Linked DNA regions of Styela clava. The protein of the gene in region 1 purifies or fractionates together with the protein of each later gene. This does not show direct contact. Links are inferred from orthologs where the notes say so. Each region holds a gene or a part of one and is shown on either strand. Other genes may lie near its edges.

Region 1 (7,391 bases):
TGAATGAATAAATGGACGCGTTTCTAATAATATTTCAGGCTTGTTCATTTCAACCGTTTTTTTTTAGAAATTGCCGGAGTAACCATACCGTACAATGGCCAAAGTAACATCATTTGTAACACAACTGCGTGTGGATGCAGCACGGAATTTTACGATCCGGTATGTGGCGCGGACAATATGACATATTTATCTTACTGCGACGCGGGATGTGACCAAGTCAGTGCGATGGTATGTATTAGTTTTTTGTTTATTTTTCATAAAATGCGTGATAGTTTAGCAGAGTTGTTTCATGTTGCTCTTTTAACGACATTGTCACAAGGGATCGAAATTTTCTTCGGAAATGGCTCGTAACCCCTGGATACGTATCACGGAACAGTAGGGAGCAATATGATCCAACCAATTCATCCTTTTTACAGAATTTTGACAACTGCTCAGGAGTATTGGATTCATCCTCAATCAGCGAAGTTTCAATGGCGTCAGCAATTAAGGGAAAATGCGTACAAGATACATGTCAAAACATGGGACTATTTGCAGTCATCATTGCACTAGCAGTGTTTTTCATATTTTTAAGTGCGCAACCTGCATTACAGGTAAGAAGACTTTTCCAACAAATACGAAACTGTTATATTTTATGCAATAACACCCATCTATAAATGTTTTTTAACCAATAAATTGACATTGACTGTCATTCCACCGCCAAATTTGCAACCTTTATTTCCTACCTATATTTGAAATGTTACGGAATCTATATACCAGGAAGTTATTTTTGAACAAAACATATTATATGTTTTTTGAATTTTCTATTATAAATAATTCAACTTATCATTTACAGGCTTCTCTTCGGGCTGTCCCTTATTTCCAGCGTTCATTTGCAATTGGAATACAGGTACTTAATTAAACTTCTTTTCTGGTATTTGCCACATATTTTGATTAGGTGTTTCAAAAAGTTTTCACATTTATTGCTGATTTTTTTATATGTTCGCGAAAGCAAATGTTCGCAAATTTGAACCACCGTTCGTTTTAACACCTACAACAAATTTTTTTCAGTGGCTGATCCTACGACTGCTCGGAAGTGTCCCCATGCCTAATATACTCGGAGCAGTTTTAGATCTGTCCTGTACGGTATGGGGAATGCAATGCGGAGTCTGTGGATCTTGCAAAATATATAACAACCAAGATATGTCAAAGTATATGACGATTGTACTAACAGTGGTGAAGGTACGTTCATATATGTTGCAATACCATACGTTAATTGCATTGAAGGATAAAAATACTCGTTAAAAATACTCAAACATTATTATATGTCTTGTTCCACAGGCGTTTTCGGTGTTTTTTTTCGCGTTGGCGTGGAAGACCTACAAATCACCGCCACCGAAAGCCGACGAATCCGAGAGTACCGCTGTTAAAACGACGTGTTCGCCTACAAAATCAGCTGACGCAATTCAAGGAATCGCCATGACTGAAGTTGATCACAAGAAAACTTTACCGGAGGATCGAAGCCATGATAATCCGAACTTTGTGCCCGATTCGTAATTTAACGTGGTGCCGGTTAACTAAAATTAAGTGCTAACGAGAATAGACTGAAAAGATATTCAGCCATAGTGTACCTCATAATATATTCCGGCAAGAACACTGCAAACGAGAAACGACGAAAATGTCTGCCGAAACAATATTTCCAGGGCATCGTTAGTGCAGCAATTCGAAAAAATGCCTTTCTTGGGATGACGATAATTACGTGACAAATTGAAAAAATGATTTCATTGACAACGAATATCAATCTTCGTCTTTGCATAAATGAAAAGATTCCTTCTCATTTAATAAAAACTATAATCTTGATTTAGTTAATCTGAAAGCATTCCAAAAATCGACATTCAAACTATTTTTCGAAAATAGTATGTATACTGCCGAAATGACGTTACTAACCCTACGTATATAGGCTAAGTAATTTGCTAGGATGATAAATTAATTTGAGCTAGATGTGAATCAGTGCAATTTCGTAACCAATTCCATCAACTGAATTTATCTTCAATCTACTTTTATTAAACTATAGTATTTATTTATTCTAGCATTTAATATTTAATTTCATATTAATGTGATAATGTTTATGGCAATAGACAATCCAATTGTAAATAAGTTTTATTACAGCAATGTCGTCATGCACTATTTTTTAAATTTTTTGAATGATTATTTAAGAGACATAAAAATAAAAGTCGGTACAGGTTTCCGCAAATTGAAAATTTTCATTAGTATTCAAGTGGGAGACTTTAATAGAATATGAGATATGGCAATATATAGCCAGTGACAATACAGAGCACCTCCGGTGCGAGTGGACAACAAACATTTCTTGGTCAGTAGACTTTTATTGCAACGTTAAGGAATCCATTGAAGCAGTGTTAGAGTCCCTGAAAAGAAATGACTTGACTTTATAGTTTTATTCCAATATATATGTGCGCAAAGTCTTGAATCTAGCTCTATCACACCAACCTAACTATTCAGAATTTTTTCTTAATATTTAATATAGAAATAGAATATATTCAAAGAGGAAACAATTTATTTGAAAAATTACGATATTATTCTATATATCTTAGCTTTAATCACATTTGAAATAGCGCAGATATTAGGATAATTGATGAACCCATGCTTTTTACTGCTTGGTTGATGATATAGAGAAGTGCTTCTATTATAGAAGTAGTATGCCCATGGGGGGACTTCATTTTGGGGGGGGGGGTGGTAAATAAATAATACACACAAATTAAAAATGGAGAATCCCGGGAAGCGAGCAAAATCTTTAATGCAGTTTTAAATATGAGAAAAATCATGTGCCCGCTCACCAGCACACTTTCGTAAAAAAGTTACAAAAAACACAAACTTTATTGAAAAAAATTGACGAATGTTTGGAACTTTCGGGATGTTGTACTTTTAAAATACTTCAGCTAATAATGATCCATTCAATCTGATACAAAGATAACGTGTGGTAAGTGGTGGTGAAAGGATAGTGTTTCTTAGAGATGGTTGCTTGGAAGAAGCATGTTTAAATATTCATTGTAAAATATTATCTAATAATATAAAAACCTTTAATTATAAACTAATGTTTCAGTTAAAGTTAAACCAAGGATTAAACATATTTCTGGAAATGATTTATGTGTATTTTGTTCTCAAGCACCGGAATTTATATCTCATTTATTTTGGAAATGTGCTGAACGCAAAAGGACTGACGTAATCTGCAAGAACCTATGAATAATTGTATTAATTTTTATTTTTCTGCCAACGATAATTAAAAAACATGTGAAATAATGTCTATTTACTGTTAAACATGGTGAACTTTATCTGGAATCAACAATGGAACAATTTAAATTACTTGATAATACTGGATTATGTTTATGAATATATTTATTTATTATACGTGACTATGTTCTATGTTTATTAATTTTTCACCATTTATTTATTTTTACAAAACTGTTTCGAATCCACAATGAGAAACCTTATAAAACAAGAGAGCTATGCTCAAATATATGGACACGTAGAGTCACATAATTTTGATGACGTCATAGCGAAAAAAAAAATATAGCCTTCTGGAGAAAATTTTATTCTTCAACCACTGAAAATTTCAAAGCAATTGGTCCAGTATTCGAAGAGAAAAGCGACTTTTTAAGAACGTGTCAAAGAACAAGAACAACAACAACAACATAATATTGAAACGATCGTTATGTCCACTACGTGTCCAAAAAGACAACGTGTGGGATGCAATGTGATGAAGTGGCCTGGATAGTCAAAAGTCATGAAGAACTACACTAATTCGGCATTGGTGAATGATGATAAAGTGGTTTAAGATACATACAAACTTGAATCAACTATGCCAATACATTCTATGCTCGGAAACTCCTAAGTGCAATTTCAAGTATTTTGTGGCGTCTAGAGCTACATTAAAACCATGGCGGGATTTCCAAACCATTGCGCTATGACCAAACCAACGACTGGACCAAACCCATTGCGACTGACTTTTTAACAGCAAATCGAATACCATCAATTTTGCTGCCGTAACCATGGCATGTCGGCTGTAATAGTAGGGCTGCCACTGATGGTGATAAATATTAGGGTATCTCCTGAAGTATGCGCTCCAAGATGGCGCACAACCTGAACTCAGGTCGTGTATCAGCTTAGGGTTCCGGTTGTGAGGCATCTTGCTGCTCATACTTCAGGAGTACCATATCGGGTAAGTTGGAACGCTTTTTTTATAAGTACAGTTTTGATGTATTTGGGGTTGGGTTTAAGTCGATATATTTCCGCATGATAAACTACAATATTGTACATGACTTTGTAAATATACCGGTAATACAGCGATGAAACCATGGCAAGAGACGCCGCGGTACGTTCGTGGCAGGAGCTGCCATGAAGTGGTAAGAACTGCGCCTCGAAACTCCGGTAAGCTGGTGCGCACACGGTAGACTCTGGCTATTTCAATTGCCAGTTCTGCAGTTAGATGATAACTTCGTGAGACTTGATTCTAGCCAAAGTAGGTATTCAAGTCGCAAATTTGTCTAGTTTGGTTCTCTTATGAATAGTATAGATATTAGATAGGTATGGCAAATTATGCATTGTTACCGTATCGTATCTCGAGCAAAGTGGTGCCAATAAAACTAACGGCGTGACATTTATTACTGTATTACACTTACAGTATTATCTGAAATTTGAACTCGTGGGTTTTCATTTTTCCTAAAAAGGAGAAATTCTGAAATTGAAATTGGACAATATGGTACCAATGCAGCTAAAACTGTACGGTACGGTACCTATAATGACCTATATGACAGAATGCGATCCTAATTCTAATTGTCCGTGCGTAGACGGCTTTGCTTGTGTGGCTAAAATCTAGCCCATGTTCACATGTTAGTTCAGTCTCCTTCAGCCTTATTTTGCCAATTTTCAAAATGACTGAAAAGTGCCTAATTCACAATTGCCTTCTTTTGATCTTTTAGTCTGTATAGAATTAGCCTATAATATTAATATACTGATATTATTCGTTACAGTACTGCATGGTTCTGGCTGTATTCCTGGTTTCCGGGTTTTGTTAGATAGACATAGTTGGTGACCAGGTAACGGTCCAACATGTCATCATTCTCAGAAGCTGCACTTGTGGACAAGTTGTCTGAATTGACTAACTCAATGCAGATCATTCAGACACTGTCTTTGTGGCTGATACATCACCGTCGTCATTCAAAAACAATTATACAAGTTTGGCAAACAGAACTAATCAAAGGTAATGTGAAATGATTTTGACAGTTTAAACAATTTTCTTGACTTATTTATCACAGTATCATAAGATCATTCTGTTGTGAATTATTGTAAAAGAACAGGAGGGACTAGCAGTAAACCCATTTTTTTTCAAAACAGACAATTTGTAAGAAAGTAGGCTAGTGAAACTTTATTACGGATCGGGTATAACTAAGTATGATATATTTTCAAACAACATATTAAAATATATCTTCATTTTAGCAAAAACCAGCAAAAAGTTGACCTTCCTCTACCTTGCAAATGACATTCTGCAAAATTGCAAAAAGAAAGGTCCAGAGTTTCATAAAGCATTTGGTGGAGTACTGATAACAGCGTTTACTCACGTTGCTAAGTATATACCATTTGTTTATGTATTATTTAATTTTATATGTTTTTTTTTCGTTTATAAGTTCCAATGTAAATCCACAATAATTTTAGATTTCATCTGTGGAATTCAAAAAAATGTTCATTCTGGTACAAGCAAATTGTATAGATAAAATTGGAAACTTAATTATCTGATGAACATCTACCAATGTAATGCTTAGTTTGCTATAATTGCTATTTATCCCTCGATATCCAAAACAAATTTATTTTCAGACATGCTGATGAAAAAACAATGAAATCCGTTCTTCGTATTCTTGACATTTGGCAAGAGAGGGCTGTATTTGAAATGGAATATGTCAATCAAATAAGGAAGTCTATAGGGAAAGGTAATAAATTGGATTTTTCATCCATGATTCATACATATTGATGCTGCTCTGCATTATAATAAAAAATGAGTATATTTGTTTGTTCGAATATTGCGAAGAACTTTGGGGTTTTAAGATTTGGTCATGTAAATTCATAATTCCATGATTAAAAATAGTGAAATTACTTTGTGACCATTTCCAACAGTATCAAAACAAACAAAGCAACCGAAAACGAAGAAAGTACAGCCAACGAAGAAAGTTGCAGTTGCTGATTCATCATCAAAAGCTCCAGAAGAAGAAAAACCTGTAAGAAAGAAAAGCCGACTCGATGAATTAATAACAGAAGAAGAGGATGATGATTATTTAACTTTATCACCGAGGGATCCTCCAGAGGTTGATTTTTTATTTAGCATCATTTGAAAACTCGCAGCAGTATGTAAAAGTCTGTAGCTTAATGAAGTAATTTAAATATTTGTGAGTATGATCAGGTTTTTGTACTTTGATTCACCAAATTCATACATTTACTGAAACAATCCAAAACAAGACTGCCAGAAGAAAAACGAGGTACTCAGGGTAAAATTTTATAGCATAGAAATTAAGATAATCCGGAACCTTCCAACGTAGGAATGAGATCTACCGACTCATCTAGTAGGAGAAAGACAAAATGTTTAGAATAACATTGTCTGTAATATGATATTCATACAGTTAAGCCTCAACGTGAAAGAAATTTCAAACCTAAAGCATCATATTCATAACTCCCATAAGAATTTTGTCAGGCAGGTTTAGAAAATAACAAGAGAATCTTCAACCTATTTTTATATTGTTGTATCATCCAGGCTGAAGATCTAGTAAAAGCTCTAACAGAATTGGAGAATGCGGCCTCTACAGATGCAGCAGTTCGTGAAAAAATTGCAAGTTTGCCTCCTGAGGTTCAAGATATATCAAGACTGGATAAGATAGCTGGTAGGTTTTTCTACATCTGAAAACCTATTGTACTGAGATGTCTACTGAATTCTAGTTGATGTTATTTATTGAGATGTAATACTAATGCTGCCATGTCATGGGTTAACTAAATAGTGCAGTTTAAATTATGTGATCAGACTTATAAAACAATTCTCGTTCTAAATATTTAATTGTAGGCAACATCACATGTTGAACTACTTATATCTTATGGTTTTCTCTCGGCTTTGCATAAAATTTTTCATATGCACATTGGCTATCACATTATATTAACATACTTCAGTATATCTAAGTAGATTGTGGAATGTGAAATATCAGTCCTTCTTGTTACTATAACATATTTATGTCATAATTTAGATATTGAGAGTGCAGAAAAGTTATCGGCAATAGTGGATGAAGCTTGTCTGCTTTTAGCCGAATATAATGGTCGACTTGTTGCTGAAATTGATGATAGAAGACAAGTAGCAAGAATGT
Region 2 (7,179 bases), on another chromosome or scaffold:
CCCTTTTACACCGCTAACTACAAAAGGATATGGCTTGCCATTAAGGTAAAATTTCAGTTCTATATGGTCAAATGTAACACCAACAACGTCACCCTCAGCTGGTAAATTTTTTGTCCTGCATATTTCATTATTTTTGTGCCACACAGTGCCGTCATGTCGGAATACCCATGTTTTTTCACACATTCCTAATGGAACATGATTTAAATTTGCGTTGGCGAGTGCAAGTCCGATTCCCCATATTCCAGAGCTTTGTACCTTTGCTTCAAAGTAGCCTTTGTCTTGGGCAATAGGAGCTGTAGCGAGAGCCCCACCGGTACCGCATATCCTTTTACCGTTTTTAACAATCACCGTACCCGTTCCCATTGTTGTTGTATTGAGAACAACAGAATTATTCGATAAATTCTGTTGATTTGTTCTTGAATTAGAAGAAAATCCAAAGCATCTCCATAACCAATCAAGTGTTAGCGCCATGGAGTCCGCAGGTTTGGAAGATAACTAAAAATCTTTACATCTAATACTAATAAGCTAAAATAATAAATAATGAGAAAGTAATAAATGGAATTAGAAATATTGTAATCCGTTAGGGTCAAAATGAATAGACACAAAAAATTAGCTAATAAAAGTTTAAGAGTTACCAGAACTAAAAACAATTGTTTTGCTACTTATTAACACATATCTGTGTTCAGCATTTGAGGTCTGTTGGCTAGACAAATAAACTTCTAAGCCAAAAAGCCTGATTGCATTGACATGATTTGTTTCAAATTTCAAGTAAATGGCATCTGCTGGTAAACAATGCAACATTACAAAACTATATACTCTTAGCATCTCGTAACATTTCGGCAGTAGCCCAGAGTCCCCTTTAATTGGGATTTAATGCACATGACCTTATAAATTTTCCTGATAAACAATCAATTAGGCCTAACAGTCATTTTGCTACTATGGAATGCTATATATGCTATATTATGGAAAAATGGTAGTAACAATGAAAAACATTAGTGACATATTCAGTATATACTAAATACTTATTATTATCCAATTCAGATTAGTACCAAGCAGATGACGATTGTAACATTTCTGTTATTGGACAACAAATACAGATAAATACGTTTCCATGCATCTGAAATAAATACCCAGCAAACTAATTTCATACCCGACATGGACTGGTAACAAGACGAGAGGCCGTGGCTCGCAAAATGATTACGCCGTATTACCTGATCGCACTAAAAATTTGGCCCATACCTCTGATTGCACTCAAACAAAATTACATTATGCTAACTTAATTCCAACAGCTAAAGATCGAACTGACAGTGATAGCAAGGATGAATTCAAAGGATTTTGATAACTACTTACTGTTAATAATAAAAGTAATACATAACAGTAATGGTCATCATTTTTAATAATACTCTTCTGCGACCGTTTTTAGGGGATCGGTAAATGACAAGATTTCTTTCAAACACCAAGCGCAAGACTATATCAATTTTCATGAATTGCACCTTTTACCTATGAACGATAATTTGTGCAAAATTCAATTTATTCAATTAAAAACATTTTAAATGATTCGTAAAATTGATTATTCACTGAATCGAATAAAACTAATTTAGAAAGTATTTAAATATTCCATTTATTTTGGGCATCAAATATTTAAAAATTACAATTTACAGCAAAATTTGACATTTTTACACTGAAATAACATTAGATGATAGAAGCCAATGACCTACACGAGGGCTACTCAACTGGCGGACAGCGGTCCGAATTCGCACCTTTCGAGTATTAGATTCGGACCGCACCCGATTCTTTATTTCTGATCATTGGCGCCACTTTGGATATGTGAATGTTCCTTTTATTAAATGACTTTTATAGATTTAAAGGTACTGTATAATTTGCTTATGAATGCGCTGGACTATCTCGATCAGAGAATAATCAATAGCCAGCTAAGAAAGTGTGCATTTAAAAATGTCTAAATATAATTTCTGAAAAGACTATAACTCAGTAATTTTGTATACGAATCTTTGGTAAAAAATAGTTGAGTAGCCCTAGCCTACACCATCAAGTTCACGCATCTGAAACAAATTACTGGTTAACTATTCCTATACGCAATAGGACTGTTTACCAAACGAAAAGCCTTGCTTCGCCATATTATATTTTAGCCGTTTTTTTCTTTTTTCAGTTATCCTCTCCCAAAGAATGTGAAATGTGTGAATGTAAATGTGAAAATCCTATCAAAATATTCGACAGATTGTTAACTTCCACAGTGTCGTTATTAGGGTCAAATGGTGCGTTTTCCAACACCCAGATTATAATTTAAGGTGATTATTTATTCTTACAAATTTTTGCCAAAAAGTAGATTTATTTTTCATAGCAGCCTACTTTTCTGAAGACCCTCTAATTCAGTTTTACTTAAGGCATTCAAGTCAAATCCTTTTAAATCAGATTGTCCTTCAACATCTCGCATTTTATTAACTTTATCATGTAATTTTGTTCGAACACTGTTGATCTCTTCGTCAAGGTAATGTTGGTCTGTAGTGAGCATATCAGTTGCTGCGCTTGACGGTAATTTGATAAACATTCCACCAGAATTTAACCAGGTTTTAGATTTATTGGGTGCGGCTACGCCATTCTTTATAGCTCTTAATGCTTCTCTGTTCATATTTCTTCGTTTGTCCAAGTCGACAATTTGTTGTTTATCGGAGAGAATATCTTCGGCTTGCTCCTCAACTTCAGTCAAATATTTCAAAACAGAATCAGGATCCCTTGCCATTTTCTGATTTTAAATAAATACAACTACTCAATTATACTCTGGTATATCTTCGAACGAATAACCTTTATATCCTCTCCAAGCGTAGTAAGCGATTCTTACGTGATAAAACCCCGGAACAAATGTCAGTATTCCAAGAATAAGAACGGGCCACGTTCGATCACTATATTTTTCGTCAATATGTCCAGAAACTAGAAGAGCTCCAACAATGATGAGAATACTTCCAAGTAAAAATAAAATAACAGCAGCCCGAATCGCTCGCCAAGGAATTTTTTGTGGCGGTTTTTTGAACTGTAAATCAATGTATTTTTCTTCTCCAGGTGTTCCGTAACGCCGAGAAAGCTTTGTGTATTTCACTTCAGGCATAGGATTATTTTGGAATGTCAACTAAGAAACTTATGCTAATTTTTATCTAGCAGTTTCATCAAAAAATTAATTCTAAAATAGAATTTAAAACAAATAGATAAAAACTGATTACTGAATCAGGAGAGCAAATAAAACCCTATGTAAGGTATAAAATGTACAGAATTGAAAAGAAAGGGCGTTACTACATGTTAAAAGTTAACTATCGGTAATTCAAATTTATTCACACATCTAACCACAAGGATATAGTAAAAAAGTGTGAAATACTTGAGCTAAAAAAATGAATTAAAAAAAATTATTTGTCACACCATATTAATAATTTTTTAATAATAGTCAAAGCGAATATCAAATCAGTATACATGGAATAAATCTGACTTATATTCTCATACAAAATAATATAGAATTGTGCTGAATCTAACAGCGCAGAAAAGATTTCTTATACCTCTATAACACACATGATATCACACATAAGTTACACCAGCCCTTATAATATTAACAACCCTGAATTAAACTCTAGCGCCCTCTATGACAAATTATTCAGTCAATTTTGATATATTATTGATTGAAAATTCATTTTCAATTTTCCCAGTTTCATAACAGAAAGATAAATTGTATGGCTAAAATTGAAAAATTTAATATTCGAGAAATGTCTTAAATCATGTTGAAAGAGGCAAAATCATGAAATATTATTTAATTAAATGAATAAAAAAATCACATGAAGGAATGGCCAAAACCGAAAAGCTTACAATTTTGAATGTAATTACAAATTAATATTTTTGAATCTGAAATATCCAAATTGGGTACTGAACATTCCAAATTGGGTCATATTAAAAATATCAGATGTATATTCAATAAATTTGAGTTTGGAAATATTAAGATGAACAGCGATTTGATTGGTGGTCGGTTCATTTTTTTTAGTTTGAAAAATTAAATTGGGTATAATGTCAGATTCCAATTGCTCAAAATAATTTTCAAATAAAACAAATAATTTGTCCAATCTGGAATTTAGAATATCAAATACAAGCTATGATAAACCGTTTCATTTCAGTCATTGGCTCTTCATCAATACTGTACACCAGTTGTTCTCGAACTTTTTAAGCTGAGCCACCTTTTTAGAATTTGTCAAAAATGACTAGCTACTAATAACAGATAGTGAGGCAAACATGTTGAAAATGTGTGTTGAAACTCCTGTGGTATGTACACCAAGATGGCGAACACCGGAACGTTGTATGTGTACCAGGTTAGGGTTAGGCCATAATTTTATTTCAATTTTCCTTATTTTAGTTCTATCATGAGTACGGTTATTGCTTATACCTCTGAAAATAATACCAAAAAAAAAATAAAAAAAATCTGAGGTATGTGTAAATGACAGACAGAATGTATTGAGTCCAAGACAGTACAAAATTAGCTTTCACAATTAAATTCAGAAACATAAGATAGGATTTTCATATTTATCCCGGGTGGAAGTAAAGCTGATAAGACTGCCTAATCATATGGCAAACCATGGCCTCGCCTTAAGCTACCAGTCTATGTCGGGTATGGGATTAGTTAGCCAGTTAATTGTTTCAGATATGAACAATCTAAATTTTAGCGAACCGATGGAATTTCTACTAGTTTTATATATACTTTGTATAAATATAGATAGTCATTAGAAATTTTCTTATTTTCTCAATAATAAGGAGAATATAAAAAGCAAAATTATAGTCTTTAAAAGTCACAAATGACAACCTCTCATTTTTCACAATATTTTCAGCACAGTTAATTTTGTCACAATTTCGTTCCCTAAAATGTTGAGTGTTAGTTTTGATCGACTGGTTGAATCTATGATTACAGCCTAATAGTAATGTTTGGTATGACTTTTGTGTATATATTATATAATCAGCTATATATTGACAATGAAAAATTAACTGCTACTACGTTTATTTACTATTTTGCAGCCTGATACTTAGGGGAGTCAAAAATGAAAACGTCACTAACATTGTTTCGAATAAAAACGTGTTATTTATAAGTCAATGGATATCGGATTTCATATTTTCTATATTTGAAAATCTCGTAATTCTCTACTTTGTGAATTTGTTTTTGATAAATGAAAATATAAGACATCCTGGAAAATAAGCTTTAGTGTTATTTTTCGGAAGAAATTGAAATACCACCCAGTCTTATTTTCGAGGAAACACGGTAGGAATGTGAGAAATTGAAGCCAGAGTAAACAGAATATGTGTAATGATATTTACAATAAAATTATAATGATGTGCTTTGAACCTTCGGCTATTTCATACTGATATTCCGAGACTTGTTAGAGCCAGACAGGATCGTAATAATAGCGAATTGCCATGTATTTAACGCCTTGAGGAAGAAGAATTCAAAATTTCTACAAAGACTCAAAACTCATATTTTTTTTATCAGCACTCTCAACAGTCGATTGAAGAAAGCTTGCATACAGCAGAGTCGGTAATCGGTAATCATTAATTGAACCTCCTGAAGTATGCGCACCAAGATGGCGCACAACCTGAACTAAAGTTGTGTACCAGGTTAGGGTTCAGGTTATGCGACATCTTGGTGCGCATACTTCAGGAGTACCCGTTAATTTATGATTGACGTACAATAGCTTTATCGCTATCGAGCTTTATCCTAGTTGTGCTAACAAGTGCATGAAGACAAAGGGTCATGTAGGCGCCACTACAAAATTGGTGATTGAGAATCATGATTAAATTATCTATATAGTTTTAAACTTCACCAGACAAGAACAGCAAATAAGGTTAGGGCCAATTTAAGAATGTTGTTAAAATATATCGAGCATGATAAATTTACTGCAGTGAATACTTTGATTGTGAAATAAGCCAGACAAATCAGCATTTAACCTAGTTATATATGAGAATAAACAACTATTTGATATTCCCATACAGCTTGTTTTGATTAACGAGATGATCATATGACAAACAATATGCTGGAACTGCAATGGTTTTGTATGAGAATAGCTACCAGTAGTCAGTTTCAAAATTTCAGGAGAATGGACTAGGAAGAAAAGCGCGCAATGAGTTCATGGGTTAGCAGGTTTAAGGTTACAGAATTGTGTTTCTGACTGCCTGACACAGAGAAAGTGACAGACTTCTTTTTATTTACTGCATTATCCAATTTAAAGGTTATGTGGAGGTCAGTGAAGTACGGTGGTACCGTAGTAAGCAAGACCGTCCAAGGTCATATGAGCTCTTAAACATTTCATTTAAACCAGTAATCAAACTATCAGAATTGGTCGCACGATATGAAAAAAGCAGAAAATGAGTCAGCAGATAGAGTTTATAGCCCGTTTATTTTGGAGTTTGAGACAGCATGTATAAAATTAGGTACCGTACCGGTAGTGGGAGTCATAAACAAGAGATCAGTGTTCAGGAATGGCACACCCATCGGTGTTATGTGGGGGAAATTGTAAACTGGACACTACTTTTGAGAAACCATGTTACTTATTCAAATCACCATTGTGAGGCCGGTATTAGCGTATTACATACGAAAATATAATGACATAAAATAAATAAGCAAAGCTTTGGTACATCTAGTGGAGCTTTCCTGTCCTACGAAACCTGCTCTGCTCAATTCTGACACCTGCTGTCTGAAAAACTGTGCAATAATGAATGTTTCCTTAACCTTTGACCCTGAAAAATTCTCCCTATATTTTGCACAGCGAACTAGCGACTAACAGAACGATGTTTATCTTGAGATTTTTTGCCAGTTGGCGCTTACATACTGGTTTATATGTTTATAAAATTGGCGTCCACATACTGTTATATGTTTCCCATCACAAAAGTTACAAATAGCATGCAAAATCACGAAAACAAGCTACTGTTCATCGCCATGCATGAAAGTCTGTTCGAGTAAAAAAGGTGACTGAGCGGCTGCTAAAAATCCAATTGTTACACAACCAGTGACAACTTGCAGATTAGTCAATATTACGGACGTAAACAGGGAAGTCGGTGCAGGGTCATTTTTATTATCCACATTCCAGAACTTAGGAACTTGAAAACGTTTTTTAATGATTGGAGGGTGGATCGAACTTTCTCGGACTC
Region 3 (6,203 bases), on another chromosome or scaffold:
GCTGCGATTACTTTGCGGCATTGAGTTGCAAATTGTAGGGTTTTGATTATGCTAATTTAGGATTGTTAGGATGTTTAGGGTTATTTAGTAATATAGGTTCTAATTGAGTTGTATGTCGAAGGCTAATTATACTCTTTTATTGTTTTTGTGTCTTGTAGCTAAATTTAAGTACTGTTGTTGGGCTGGAGACACAAATATATTGTAACCACATCATACAACACATCATACAATACACATACAATACATTTACATACAGACATCAAGTTTTGACATTCACTGTGTTACACTGCCGTTATACTTGCTGTGGAAATTTATCTATCTACTGTGGAACTTTTAACCTGATTGTGGAATTTTACTGGACTGTGACTTGTATATACTGTAAATATACTTTCATTACAAGTTCTTTCATACAAGTTGGATGTGTTTATGTGTGCGTTACTACTGTGTCGAGAGTTAGCTACGGAAGTAGATTGACAAGACAGCCCAATAATCAGAAATAGGACCTGTAGAACCTCTTAACTCTACAACTTCTGCATGACGTAACAATTGAATTAAACCAGCTGTTAGCGAGCGGATGAATATTAGTTATTTCTGCTCGACCTTGCGCTGAGTTGGGCAGGCTTTCCATAGCCCTGTTTAGTTATTATTAGTTAAGTTATGCTAAGACGTTGTTGAAAAATGTATAAGTAAATTATTAAACACTTGTAGATCCTTACCACGGATATGGGCCGTGAGACGAAACCATGAAAACGCCCAGAAAATGAGTTTCGTAGCGCACATCTGGTAACTAAATAAATTCTTCAGTTTTGTGTGAAAACGAACATAATGAACGCATTACAGCTTGTTCCACAATCCTGGTGCGAAATTGAATATAAGAGGTTCCCGGAAATTCAATAACCATAAGTTTACAACGCATACATAAGAACTATACAATTCGAGAGCCCTACAGCACACTAACACAAATGTATTCCTGTAATGTTTTGCCTGACCAAAATCGGACTTCCTCAGTCAATCATAATTTATTAGGTAGATTACGAAAAATATGGCATACATGTAACCAACAACAAAAAATACTTTAATTGTGTGACAGGAGTCGGGAGTGACCTCGAAAGCAGCGACACCAACAACGCTGATTCACATTTGAGAATAAATTTTATGTAATAACCACAAGCAGTTTACAACAAGAACAGCATAAAAAGCTACATCCATTTTATAGAAGCTATCAAGTATCAAACGTATTTATTTTTAAGCAATGAAGTCACAAATTAACATCGTGAGCACGAAAACACAAATAAATCAGTTATTTCTCACTTAGAAATTTACCGCAAAAGTCAAGAAAATTAAATGAATGTACAATATGTACATAACATAGTGAACAGAAATATTACAATTTACAATTAATCTTTTTTTAGTTTATGTGGTTATGTATTTGAACAAAGGCAATAATATTTCTAGAAACAGGACTACGACACTAACAAATGTCCGAAAAAAAAAACAAATGTATGATACTTATTAAATCAACTGTAATATCTAATTCACTTTCTTCTGAATTGTTTTCGAAATCCACTATCTCAAAATTCGACTTTTCCTCTATAGGTGTACTGTGATTTCTGCAGTCAATACAAAAACAAAAATCTGTGCAATTTAAGTTGATTTTGCCACACTTTCATAAATTATTTTGACTATTTTTCTTTGCAGTTTGCCAACTCAAGAACTGATTTGAGGGCCACATGCTTCTTCAGTGAATCATTGTTGGGTGGAGAGTATAATCCTTATGTTTGACAGTGTTAAATAGACGTGCCCTGGTATCATTTACATTCTTCATATCCTCTTCAAATTCCTCAGCTTTATTTATTAATACCTCGTTAACCTCAAAAGATCTTCATAGTCGAGGGAAAAAAATGAATTGAAAATCTCAATGAAGTCTCCAACATGAATTTGATGGGCAGTTCCAATTGCAGAAAAGTGCTAAAGTATTTCAATATGAATAGCCCATCTAAGCTGTTTGCAACTATTATGATTCTCATATACCTTTAAGCTTCAAGACTTCTTGTTTAATCCATTTTATAGCACTGATAGCAGCAGGGATCAGAGCCTGCGTTAGGTCGGATTGGTGGAACATTGCCGTTTTCTTTTGTAGTACAGTATCTAAAATAAGGAAGAAAATAATATTTGGAGCAGCATGATTTTAAAAATACCCCTAAATACTAACTAATACCTTGAATACATAATGCATTTTATCTGATGTACTAAATGAGCGTATATATGCTCATTGCATGTTCTACAGTCCAGCAGTGTTTGCATACCATTACTAGACTATATCTACACTAAATTTTGATATATCACAGTCTGAAATGTCCTATGACAGTATGAGTATGGACTATAGACTATATTTTGAAACATCAACTGTTTGTCTACAACTTCATTTCTCACCTCTCAATCATTTCCAATGCTACCTTTCTTTCCACTCCGGCATAACTTATCATTGCTTCCCAGGTTCTTGTCGACTCTATGAATTTAGATTTAGACCAACCGACATTAGTAAAATTGATTAATTTCTTCTCTTTCACACAACCGTGCATTACAGAAACAGCCATTCATTTCTATTTCCAAATATGCTGTGGCCTATATAGTAGTATAAGTCTGCTGAATAGTCAAGAAGAGTCATTAAATTAATCATAAACATTTCATGCAAGCCAGAAAATATCGTTGTTTGTGACATATTATTCTAGGTCTAGCCTTCCTTGGAGTTACCGCACCGTACGGTACCTATTTAACAACGTCTTATGAGCTAGTGCTCAACTAAAATTGCTATTTATGGCAAGGATATACAAGTGTTTAATATCTTACCTATACTTTTCAACACCTCCTTAGAATAACTGGACTAATATTACCGGTAACTGAAAAAAACTATGGAAAGGCTACTCAACGCAAAAGCGAGCAGTTGAGTACATCTGATATTCATCCGACCACTGGGGATCCACCTACAGCTGACTAACTTGACTGTTACGTCGTGCAGAAGTCTGCGTTCATTGGCCCATGATACCGGAAAAGCAGAGAAAATAGGACAGATGGTAACACATATTTATTGTAGTAAAAGCGTCTTTTCTGTAAAACGTGCAACTTTTGGAAGTGGGAACAAGGCAATATTTGTTACTAAATTTCTAAGGAACATTTTAAAATCATTTTCAGGTAGTTACCTGATGTGCGCTACGAAACTGAAAGATAAATGGCCTCGGCTCGCGGCCTATATGGATTCCCGAATGCAATGGATGGTGGTCTATTGGTAGCGCTGAGTTGTTTACTCATTATCATAACTTATGCGTGGATGAAGTTTGTCAAAACAGGACCCGTATTCAAGAATGATTTGGAAATTGACGGAAAAACTGTCCTTATTACCGGTGGAAGTTATGGAATAGGAAAAGAGACAGCTCTACAACTTGCAAAACGCAAGGCACGGGTAATTATCGCCAGTAGAAATGAACAGCGTGCGTCAGAAGCTATTTTTGATATCAAGAGCCAGAGTGGAAACGATATGGTGCACTACATGAAGCTGGATTTATCAGATTTTGCGGATGTAAGAAGATTTGTGAGGAATTTCATTGATACAGAACCTAGGCTGGACATTTTAATAAACAATGCAGGTGTTGCTGTTCCTGGAATGACAAATGATGGGAATGATATTATTTTAGCAACAAATCAACTCGGACCTTTTCTTTTAACTAATCTTTTAATTCCACTTTTGAAAAGTTCATCAGATTCCCAACATGTTCGAATAGTAAATGTCAGTGCTGATTTATATACAATTGGAAAAATTGACTTTGGTAATATAAATTTAGGACTTACCAAGGAAAGCCCTTATCAGCAGATAATTCAACAATATTCAAATACAAAATTGATGAATGTATATTTTACAACAGAACTGAATAAAAGACTGAGATCCGAGGATCCAGAAAACAGTTCTATATCAACCTATGCTCTTCATCCTGGTGTGATTGCCAGTGAACTTGGTACAGGAGCAATCCATAATACCTTGATGAAGGTTGGCCACTTGATACTAAAAGCTTGCTTCATGCGTCCACTTTTTTATGGCTGCCAAACCATTTTGTACTGTTGCCTTCAAAAAGGACTCAAGGAAAAAAGTGGAGGGTATTTCTCAAATATGAGGATGAGACAATTAAAAGCAGTTGCAACAGATTCAGAAACTGGTCTGAAACTTTGGAAAGTATGTGAACAAATGACTGGATTAACTAAAGAAGAAGATTATTTTGCAAAAAGCGATTAAAGTATTCTGCATGTTGGATATTTCATAAATTACAGTACTGGTGGGACAGGTCTTCTCAGTGGAAAACTACCTCACAAATATAGCAATTTTGTGAAAGATGTATGGTATCAGTTTAGAACTACATTACATTCATTTTTTTGCATGCAGAATTTTTTATTGGATTTTCTATTTTGAATTTTGTTTACTTGACGAACAGTGAAAAATGCTTGATTGTGTTATAGTTAGTCCAATTGAACCCTTTTTCTGCCATGCTTGTTTCCCATTGTAGAAATAAAGTTATTTAAGTCCTAAATTATGCCACAAAATGGCATTGAAGATGATATCTTATATTTATCCAGATAAAATATTTATATACTTTATAATTTCTTTGTAAATTTCTGTCATGACGTCCTCCTCCACAAAAGCTCTTAGTTCTGTGTTGGAAGACAAAGAAGAAGATGCATCGCAGCTACAATTTCCTCCTGAATTTGAGAATGCAGAAACTTTGCTCAACTCGGAAGTTCATATGTTACTTGAACATCGGAAACAGCAAAATGAAAATGTTGAAGAAGAACAAGAATTATCAGAGGTATAAATCTTGCCCAACAATTGGAAACAAGAATAAATATGAAAATGCTGAACTATATTTTATGAAGCATAGCTACATAAAAAGCGCATACAAGATGAACGAAACTTATGGATAGTTGTCTTTGCTATTATTATTGAGATATAAATAGCAACATCCTGTTGCAAAATACATTTTTTCCATATTTTTAGTGTTCCCATTATTCATTTATTTTTTGTTTTATTTAGGTATTTATGAAAACACTGAACTACACACAGCGTTTCAGTCGATTTAAAAATCGTGAAACAATAGCAAGTGTTCGCAGCCTGTTACTTCAAAAGAAACTCCATAAATTCGAGCTTGCATCTCTCGCGAACTTATGTCCTGAAACTGCCGAAGAAGCTAAAGCACTTATCCCCAGTCTAGAAGGCCGATTTGAAGATGAGGAACTACTACAAGTTCTCAATGATATTCAATTAAAAAGAAGTTTCCAGGCTTGATGATGAATAAATGAAACAAATTTCATCGATTAAGAGCAAAGTGCAGCCTTGCTGGATTGTTCAGTTCCAGTTCTAAATGTCTGGGGTCCAAATTATATGAAGGCTGCATGAATTTTAATACTGCAATCATTGAAAAACAGCATGAGTGATGGTAAAGACAAAATAATAGTTTGAAACCAAGTACTGATGTATACAAGAGAAGATTTTTCTCATACAGGTAAAATGGTCACATAACATAAACTCTAGGGAGGATGTACTGTACTTAATAATGAGATATTCTAGGGGTTTTTCTATTTTTATATGAGGAGTTCCTCTGTGCTTCTGATATTAAAGAGCATCTTGGAGCAGAGATTTTGCATCCATTTTATAATTGCTTCACCAATGTTGATATAGAAACCAGCAGTTCCGGTTGCCTGGACTCTATTATTTGATAGTTCAGCCATAGAAAAAGTATATAAGCAACAATGCTATTATTCAATTAGCTGCGGACAGTGCGGTCTGATTGTGGTGTACTTTGATTATCATAAACAAATTCTCTTGAGGTCACGTGCCACGTTATGTAAATCCCTATGCCAGGAATGACACAGAATTTTATATATTGGAATGGAACTAAAGGCACAATCAATGTGTTGTTGTCTTTAGGGGATGTCACTAAAATGTGTGTCCATATATAGACACCAGATATTTAGGACACCCGTCTTTCGTTGTAGTCTCCAAATACTAGTGTTTGCAGAACGACTTCCTCATCCGTTTTTAAAATAGGATTGGTTATTTTTTCACACTCGTTTCAGCAGAGAAAGCCTATAAGAACATGTTGTCATTCGGCTAGTCACGTGTTCTCGACATCAGTCTTGGCAAAAGCAAGTTGGTTGGT

Evidence for each region.
Region 2: the proteins of regulation of nuclear pre-mRNA domain-containing protein 1B-like (region 1) and p53 and DNA damage-regulated protein 1-like purify together in Homo sapiens (affinity purification with mass spectrometry; 3 studies listed by BioGRID and IntAct, with this or other methods). This does not show direct contact. The link is inferred for Styela clava from reciprocal best matches to the Homo sapiens genes RPRD1B and PDRG1.
Region 3: the proteins of regulation of nuclear pre-mRNA domain-containing protein 1B-like (region 1) and DNA-directed RNA polymerase II subunit RPB4-like purify together in Homo sapiens (affinity purification with mass spectrometry; 3 studies listed by BioGRID and IntAct, counting the BioPlex papers as one, with this or other methods). This does not show direct contact. The link is inferred for Styela clava from reciprocal best matches to the Homo sapiens genes RPRD1B and POLR2D.

The regions. Positions count from the first base shown.
Region 1 is NC_135260.1:17,608,857-17,616,247, forward strand, and holds the start of regulation of nuclear pre-mRNA domain-containing protein 1B-like, read left to right. Parts: upstream 1-4,375; 5' UTR 4,376-4,517; intron 4,518-4,976; exon of another isoform or gene 4,977-5,024; 5' UTR 5,025-5,103; coding exon 5,104-5,254; intron 5,255-5,490; coding exon 5,491-5,620; intron 5,621-5,865; coding exon 5,866-5,978; intron 5,979-6,162; coding exon 6,163-6,350; intron 6,351-6,793; coding exon 6,794-6,920; intron 6,921-7,274; coding exon 7,275-7,391. Other genes in the region: solute carrier organic anion transporter family member 4A1-like, read left to right, coding at 68-228, 417-590, 833-886, 1,048-1,218, 1,318-1,533. UniProt on the Homo sapiens protein: Interacts with phosphorylated C-terminal heptapeptide repeat domain (CTD) of the largest RNA polymerase II subunit POLR2A, and participates in dephosphorylation of the CTD by RPAP2. Transcriptional regulator which enhances expression of CCND1.
Region 2 is NC_135262.1:6,592,798-6,599,976, reverse strand, and holds p53 and DNA damage-regulated protein 1-like, read right to left. Parts: upstream 2,897-7,179; 5' UTR 2,759-2,896; coding exon 2,354-2,758; 3' UTR 526-2,353; downstream 1-525. Other genes in the region: SPRY domain-containing protein 7-like, read right to left, coding at 1-471. UniProt on the Homo sapiens protein: May play a role in chaperone-mediated protein folding.
Region 3 is NC_135263.1:10,962,912-10,969,114, reverse strand, and holds DNA-directed RNA polymerase II subunit RPB4-like, read left to right. Parts: upstream 1-4,658; 5' UTR 4,659-4,667; coding exon 4,668-4,853; intron 4,854-5,077; coding exon 5,078-5,329; 3' UTR 5,330-5,678; downstream 5,679-6,203. Other genes in the region: dehydrogenase/reductase SDR family member 13-like, read left to right, coding at 3,269-4,285. UniProt on the Homo sapiens protein: Core component of RNA polymerase II (Pol II), a DNA-dependent RNA polymerase which synthesizes mRNA precursors and many functional non-coding RNAs using the four ribonucleoside triphosphates as substrates.